Linked DNA regions of Canis lupus familiaris. The protein of the gene in region 1 purifies or fractionates together with the protein of each later gene. This does not show direct contact. Links are inferred from orthologs where the notes say so. Each region holds a gene or a part of one and is shown on either strand. Other genes may lie near its edges.

Evidence for each region.
Region 2: the proteins of KATNA1 (region 1) and KATNBL1 purify together in Homo sapiens (affinity purification with mass spectrometry; 3 studies listed by BioGRID and IntAct, counting the BioPlex papers as one, with this or other methods). This does not show direct contact. The link is inferred for Canis lupus familiaris from reciprocal best matches to the Homo sapiens genes KATNA1 and KATNBL1.

What each region holds. Positions count from the first base shown.
Region 1 is NC_049222.1:40,671,318-40,675,129, forward strand, and holds part of KATNA1 (katanin p60 ATPase-containing subunit A1), read right to left. Parts: intron 2,678-3,812; 5' UTR 2,665-2,677; coding exon 2,503-2,664; intron 506-2,502; coding exon 348-505; intron 1-347. UniProt on the Homo sapiens protein: Catalytic subunit of a complex which severs microtubules in an ATP-dependent manner. Microtubule severing may promote rapid reorganization of cellular microtubule arrays and the release of microtubules from the centrosome following nucleation.
Region 2 is NC_049251.1:1,134,544-1,139,085, reverse strand, and holds the start of KATNBL1 (KATNB1-like protein 1), read right to left. Parts: upstream 2,802-4,542; 5' UTR 2,518-2,801; intron 1-2,517. Other genes in the region: EMC4 (ER membrane protein complex subunit 4), read left to right, coding at 2,990-3,075, 3,393-3,507.

The DNA.
Region 1 (3,812 bases):
ACCTAAGAAAAATCTGAAGCCTAGAAAGGTTATAGGTTTTTTCCAAAGCTACAGAAGCATGGCAAAGATAGAATGAGAGCCAGATATTTCAATTCCCAGTTATTTCCATAAGATAATGTTGTCTCCGTTACTATAAGCTCATTCACAAAAGCATTTTTGGCATATTTCCTAAGTTTAATTTATCGATACAGGTCATAGTTACATGATACACAACATAAGAGTTCTAAAAGGCATTCAGTAAAAAAAATCCTCTCCCGTTCCTGTCTCTTGGCTACCCAGCTTCCCTAGATATAGCCAATGCTATTAGTTTCCTGGGCTAATTTGTTTCTTAAAAGGTCTCCACTTACCTTCGTTCAACAGGTACAGGCAAGGACCAGACTTCCCCCTCAGAAGCTGGAAGCTCATGCTGTGCAGCTTTCAGTGGAGTGTTGTCTAGTTTAAAGCTCTCCAGTGTTTTCATGATATCTTTAACATGTTTAGCTTCCACATTTATTTCCTGCCAAACCTGGTTTTAAAGGGAGAATATGGCTCTTTAAATATCTGTAACCAGGGCGCCTGGATGGCTCAGTTGGTTATAAGTGTCCTACTTTTGATTTTGGCTCGGGTCACAATCACATGATTGTGGGATTGGCTGTGGGATCGCGCCTTGTTTTGGGCTCTGTGCTCAGCAAGGAATTTGCTTCCCCTCTCCCAAAGTCCCTCCCCCAGCTCATATGTGTTCTCTCTCCTTAAAAATAAATAAATAGGAGCACCTAAGTGGCTTAGTTGAATGTCAGGTTCTTGAGCGTCAGGCTTTTGATTTTGGCTCAGGTCATGATCTCAGGGCTGTGAGATAGAGCCCCACTCTGTGGGAGCACAGACTCTGTGCTCAGCAGGGAGTCTGCTTAAGATCCTCTCTCCCTCTGTCCCTCTCTCCCCTGCCCCTTACTCAAATAAAAAATCTAGGGCAGCTCAGGTGGCTCAGCGGTTTAGCGCCGCCTTCAGCCCAGGGTGTGATCCTGGAAACCTGGGATCAAGTTCCACATCAGACTTCTTGCATGGAGCCTTCTTCTGCCTTTGTCTGTGCCTCTCTCTCTCTGTTTCTCATGAATAAATAAATAAAATCTTAAAAAAAAAAAAAAAAAAGCTTAGACTTTTAAGATAAAAGTCTCTAGTCTACAAGGGCACCTGAGTGGCTCAGTTGGTTAAGTGTCCAACTCTTGATCTCAGCTCAGGTCTTGATGTCAGGGTTGTGAGTTCAATCCCCACCTTGGGCTCCATGCTGGCTGTGAAGTCTACTTAGAAAAAAAAAAAAAACATCTCCAGCCTATGAACATAAGTCTTTCAGTGACAAACTTAAGACTCTTTATGAAATAAAATATTTTCCTCTTATGGTAATGTAAGGGATATGCAGAAGCAGATTTAGGGAAAAAGTTTTAAGTTCAAAGAGGTAGGATATTTCTCCATTTTAAAGAAATTAAGTACAAAAATGGAATACTATCAAAAAAGTAGTTTACAAGAATCTGAGGGATAACATTCTACTGAGAAGACCCGTTCAAAAAGACTATTAAATCCTGTAGTAATTCCTTCCTCTTTGATGTAGCTGACCCTTGTTAGAAATGCCACCTTCAGGGCAGCCCCGGCGGCACAGCGGTTTAGCACCGCCTGCAGCCCAGGGCGTGATCCTGGAGACCCGGGATTGAGTCCCACATCAGGCTCTCTGTGTGGTGCCTGCTTCTCCCTCTGCCTGTGTCTCTGCCTCTCTCTCTCTCTCTCTCTCTGTCTCTATGAATAAATAAAATAAAATCTTAAAAAAAATAAACTGCTTAGTTATTAAAAAAAAAAAAGAAAGAAAGAAATGCCACCTTCAAAGGAACTTACAACTTCTACACTTTCCATCTGTAAATTCCTATTGGTCCTCAGAGACTAACATTCCTCAAATGGAATTCAAATATAGTCTTCTTTAGAATATTCTGCAGAGAATATATTATAGCCATGAGAGATTCAGGTGTCATCTGCAGTTTCAACAATGGCTTAATAAAGTCAATCCTAATTATACCAGGTAAAAAATGGGATTAGAAAAAACGTCAAGGAACGCCTGCGTGGCGCAGCAGTTAAGCCTCTGGTTTCGGCTCAGGGCATGATCCCAGAGTCCTGGGATCGAGTCCCACATCGGGCTCCCTGCATGGAGCCTGCTTCTCCCTCTGCCTGTGTCTCTACCTCTCTCTTTCTCTCTCTGTCTCTCTGTCTCATGAATAAATAAAATCTTAAAAAAAAAGTCAAAACCATTACTTTTTTTAATCTATTAGATTTCAAAAACTGTAACTGAGTAGAACTCACAATATTGATGATGGTGAATATGAACTATTACTAATATAATAAATCAAATTTCAAGTAACATTATATACAAATCCATGTAACAAACCATATACTCTTCATGTGTAACTTCAAAAAGTACCAACAATCTCTTTAAGTCTTCTGAATCTTTAAACCATTAAAACACACAGCAGCCATAATTCTCACCTGTTGCCATTTCTGCTGGAGATAGGTGTCTTTGACTGAATACAGATACTTGTTCATCTGGTCAAGAACTCCCTGATAATATACCATTGCAGAGTCATAGTTTCCCAGTAGTGCATACTCACGGGCCAATTTTACGTTCTCACTGATCATAAGAAGACTCATGCTCAACTGTAAGCTTAAAAAAAAAAAGAAAAAGAAAGAAACATTTTCATATTATATGTCTCCTGAAAATAAGTATACAAAGAGTTTTTCTAAAGTATACTTTCCAGGGCTCCTTCAAGAAGCTCACCATCATGTACAGTGTACTTTCCATCTCTATATTTGCTCATGCTCTTTCTCCTTCAAAGAAATTTCTTGGTTCACACAGGCAAGCCCCACTGATGCGTCAAAGTCCAGCTCAGAGGGCAGTCCTCCCAGCATGTCTAGCCTCTGAACTTTTCAGTTTGAAATAAACTCTCCTCCTTCTAAAGTCCCCTGGCACTTTACCAGGGCCTTTTACTCAAGACAGCTGTCTACTCTGAATTACAGTTACTCATATATGTGTCTTATCTCTAGGAGAGCAGGATTTACATCTGAAAGATGTGAGATTGTATCCTCGGTGCATGACACACAAGTCTTACTGAACATCTGTGAACAAATGCACAATGTCAGGTATAGTTATTGGAAGGTAGCGTGGAAAAGCAGAAAGTATATGTTTTGAAGTTAGAAAATTCTTGGTTAGAATTCTAATTCTGCCACTGTGGTCAAGTCCCTTAACTTTTCTACGCTTCACTTTTTAAATACGTAAAACGGAGACAGTACTACTTCCAAGACTTGCACTGTAAGGAATAAATGACTACTTAAAGTATCTAGCATACTACTTGGTAAATAATAATAGCATGTCGGGATCCCTGGGTGGTGTAGCGGTTTAACGCCTGCCTTTGGCCCAGGGCGTGATCCTGGAGACCCGGGATCGAATCCCACGTCAGGCTCCCGGTGCATGGAGCCTGCTTCTCCCTCTGCCTGTGTCTCTGCCTCTCTCTCTCTCTCTGTGTGACTATCATAAATAAATGAAAAAAAAAAATAAAAATAAAAAAATAAAAATAATAATAGCATGTCAATAAATGCTAATTGCATCTTTTCTGGAACTTTCTATATTTGAGAACCAAGCACAATCTCTGTATTAGTAGGATATGAATATATGAATGAGGATACAAAGCATCAGAAGTAAGCACTTGGGACACCTGGGTGGCTCACTGGTTGAGTGTCTGCCTTCACCTTAGAGTATGATCTCAGGAGTCCCAGGATCAAGTCCCACATCCCTGCATGGA
Region 2 (4,542 bases), on another chromosome or scaffold:
TGCGCCACCCAGGGATCCCGCTTTACAATTTATTTAAGAAGCAGGACAATAGTTTGATCAAAAAAAATTTCATGGAAACCATTGATTGAATATATAACACCCTAACATGTATTCTCTTTGAGTTTTTACATTTTTTCACATAAATGTAATTATAGTATATTTACTTTCTATTAACTTGCTCATATTCACTAAACATTTATTCAATACATTATGTTCTAGGCAGTGGAATCCAAAATAATTGACATGTAGTTCCTAACTTAAAGGAATTTAGGGCATAGTGCAGCAAGAAGGGTAGATACGTGCTCAAGGGACGTCAACAAACACAAGTGCAATTTGGTAAGTGCTATTACATAGACTGTTCTGGGACAAAGAAGATTGCCCAATAGGGCCAAGACCCTTGTACAGTCTGACATCAGTCTCAAAGGTTCATTAGAGATAACAGATAAAGCCAGAAAAGTAGAAAGAAGCAGGAAAGCAATCCACAGGTCTGGTCTTCCTATGATCATATAAATACACATTTTAGAATGAACTGGAAGGGGAAAAGCCTTTTCCACCTTATTCAAACAGTCTGCCATGAACACAAAATATCTTTAAAAGGAGAAGACAAAATGGGGATGGAAATCTTGTGTCCCTAGATCACCATCATCTTCAAGGGTCCAAACTCTCTAATTGGCCCTTTTCAACCTCACCTCCCAACCAGACTCTCATAGCACTCTTCTTCCCTCACCCCAACCCTGACCATATCAGATAACTTGGAGTCAAAGGAATAAAAGTCTGAAAATACAGAACCATTTTCAAACCAATTTAAAAATAATATAAGGCTGGTGGAATGCAAATGGGTGCAAATGGATACTGCTAGAAGACATTTAAAATGAAAATTCCTTAAAAATTTGCAATCTTTGGGGATTCCTGGGTGGCTCGGCGGTTTAGACCTTGCCTTCGGCCCAGGGTGTGATCCTGGAGTCCTGGGATGGAGCCTGCTTCTCCCTCTGCCTGTGTCTCTGCCCCCTCTTTGTCTCTGTGGCTCTTGTGAAGAAATGAATAAAATCTTAAAAAAAAAAAACGTGCAATCTTTGATCCAGCAACTGCATTCTTAGGAATTTTAGTAAGAAAAGACATAGGGTTAATAAACACTGTTTGTTTATAAAAGGGGAAAAAAAAACGGGAAACAAGTATCCATAACAGGTTATATTATTATATAGGTATAGAACTCAATACAAAAATCCAATAGCTAGTGTGCTTTTTTTTTTTTTTTAAGATTTTATTTGAAAGAGAGTAAGAGCTAGAGAGCATGGGTGGGGGAGTGGGCAGAGGTAGAGGGAGAAGGGATAAGCTGTGTCCCCACTGAGCAGGGAGCCCGATGCAGGGCTCCAATCCAGGACCCCGGGATCATGATGGGAGCTGAAGGCGGATCCTAACCAAATGTGCCACCCAGGCGCTTCTTTAGAGTACTTTTTTAATCAAAAAAAAAAAAAAAAAAAAAGCATTCGTGGCAGGCACTCCTTTTACCCTCATAAGCCTTGCAAGTAGGTAATTTTTTTTAAAAAAAGATTTATTTATTCATGGGAGACACCGAGAGAGGCAGAGACACAGGCAGTAAGAGGAGAAGCAGGCTCCCTGCAGGGCGCACGATGCGGGCGGGCGGGCGGGCCTCATCCCGGGACCCCGGGGTCACGCCCCGAGCGGAAGGGAGGCGTTCGACCGCCGAGCCCCCCAGGCGTCCTAAAGCAGGTGGATTATCCAACTCCTACCTACGAAGAGGCTGAAGCCCTAAATATCTAACGTGTCCAGAGTCACACAAGTAAGTAAAGAGCCAGGATCCGAGGGAGGCCATCTGAATGTCAAGCCCATAAGCTGCCCACGTCCGCACTGCTCCCAGCTCTGGGGCAGCAAGGTCACAGAAGGATTCGCCTTGCGCGACGAGGGCACACAAGGCTGAGGACGGAGCTCAGCGGACACGCCGCCGACGAGGCCCGCCCGCCCCAGGGGATGTGGCCTCCTGAGGCGCTCCTGCCGGCCCTGACGCGAAGGGAAAGGAAGAGCAGCTAACCGAGGGGCTACAGTTCTACGGCACAAGTGTCCCTCGGGGTCTTTGTGATTCACAAGAAAAACGCATGCGTATCAGCAGCCTAACGTCCAGAAGGAGACGCCCAACCGTCCGAACGTTAACGCTTTACTAGAGGAAGAACCGCCTTAACTGGCCGCCGGCAAGGCCGCCAGTGGCCCGAGGCCCGAGGCCCGCGTCAGCCTACAGACATTCGTTTGAAAGCCTCCCTTGCCCTCAAGCCCCCAGCCCCCAGGTGTAGCGTCAGCCACCCCCGGGAACCCAAGGGGGCTGCAGCCCTTCCTGCCCCCAGGTCCCGTCCCGGGCTTTAATGAAAGCACCATTTTGCACCAAAGACGTCTCCAGACTTCCTCCTCGGTCGTGGGCTGCGGACCGGACCCCACCCCACCCCACCCCCCACCCCGATTCCAAAACTTCATCAGCAGGATTGATGTGACTTGAATAACACAGACCCAACTCCCGGGACCTGGCAGGCGCTCGTTCGCCTCGGGAAGCCAGTCAAGAACCCGCTCCCGGTCGGAGGACCCCACGCGGATCCGGGCGTGAAGCCGAGGCCTGCGCCTCGTGTTTCCGGGGCGCGCAGGAACTCGAGAAGGCGAGCTCGGCTTTCACCCCTAGCGCAGGGGCAGGGCGCACCGCAGCCCGCCTCCCGCTCGCTCGCTCGCGTGCACGTCGGGGCTCCCGGGATACACCCCCAGGGCCGCGCGACCTGGGGAGCCGCGGCCGGCCGTCCTCCGCGGCGGGGCCCCCCGCCCCCGCGGAGGCCCCGCCCACTTCCAGACCGGAAGTGACGTCTATGCTAAGCGCCGGAAGCGGGCCGCGGGGAGACCCAGACGTAGCGGCGTCCGGGGCCGGGGCCGGGGCCAGGGCCTGGACCCCGCCGGGGAGTGACGAGGTTCGCTGCTCCGGTAGGAGGCGGGTGCCATGACGGCCCAGGGGAGCCTGGTGGCCAACCGAGGCCGGCGTTTCAAGTGGGCCATTGAGCTGAGCGGGCCTGGAGGAGGCAGCAGGTGAGGAGCCGGGGCGGAGCTCGGTAACCCGAGCCTTCAACCAGAACGGTCGCCCGGGAACGGGACCTGACCCCAGGTCCAACCCTCCGAGAATGACGGGTGGCACAAAGACGGGCCCCGGGGAGCTTTCTAATCCTCCGAGGATCCTGATTTCACTCACTCGATAGGCAGACGTCTGACGAACCCACGAGACGGCGTGTTCTAATCTGGGCGGGTGTATTTTAGGGTCTTTGGAAAATTCCATGGTTAGTGGAGCGGGAACGTGGAATGTGAAGGGTGGGAGGCTGCAGCCTTAGTTTCTTGGTTTGGTTCCTTAGGAGCCGAAGTGACCGGGGCGGTGGCCAGGGAGACTCGCTGTACCCCGTCGGTTATTTGGACAAGCAAGTGCCGGATACCAGCGTGCAAGAGGCGGACCGCATTCTGGTGGAGAAGGTACAGAGGTACAGCTGTCACAGCCGTGCTCAGCCCGGCTCTGCCCTGCACGGCCCCCTCCCGTCCCAGGCAGCATATGAATAGCCAACTGTAGGAGGCTTATCCCTAATATGGGTAGATAAACTGCTTGAGATTAACTTACAGTAGTACAAGCGCTTAATAATTGGAAAAATAAGATGTTTGAACGTATAACTAGGTTGAAAATTATTAGTGCCAGCGCGTAAGAGTTACTCTAGTTCCCTTACAACCACACAGCCAGTGTGTCAGGATATTCTTTTTGCTTTATGTTGAGACAGATGAAAAATTTGCTGTTTTTCACTGCTTCCTGTTTTAACTGTCATTCTGAGTGATTTCATCTCTTACCACTTTCCCGTTTGTTCTTCATTCCACTCTAGTCAGAATGGCCTCCTTGCTGCTCCTTGAAAATAGCGGGCAGGCTTCCATCTCTCTCGGACTGCTTGTACATGTTCTTTCCCTCTTCCTGGAACACTCTTCCCCCAGATACCTTTAGGACTTGCTCTGGCGTCTCCTTTAGATCGCTCGCATGTTACCTTCACAGTGAAACCCCATGGCACTACCTATCCTGCTTATCCTTTCCTCGTATTAGTTTATATGTTATACTTACTACCATGTAAGTGGTAAGGTCCATGAGAGTAGGTTTTGTCTCCCAAGCACCTAGAACAGGTGGCACTCTTTCCTCTTATCCTTAATATTGTTCAGTACTAAATGATCTTCATTTCATTAAATGCAGTGATTTTTTAGATGAAAATGACAGCTTTTCAGTGCTTTTCTCGATAAGTATATCATTTTTCATCTTGGTACATCAAATTGTAATATGAATTTTGATCTTTAAATTCCCAGATAAATGATCTTTTATGTAAGTGACACACCAGGGAACTGCTTAACTATGGCCATCTATTAACATAAGCTGAAAGGGATAGTAATATATTCTTCTGTTGCTAGATTTAATATTTTGCTTAGTAAGATTTTTTGCATTTAGGTTCAGGAGTGATGACGATCTATGAACTATTTTAA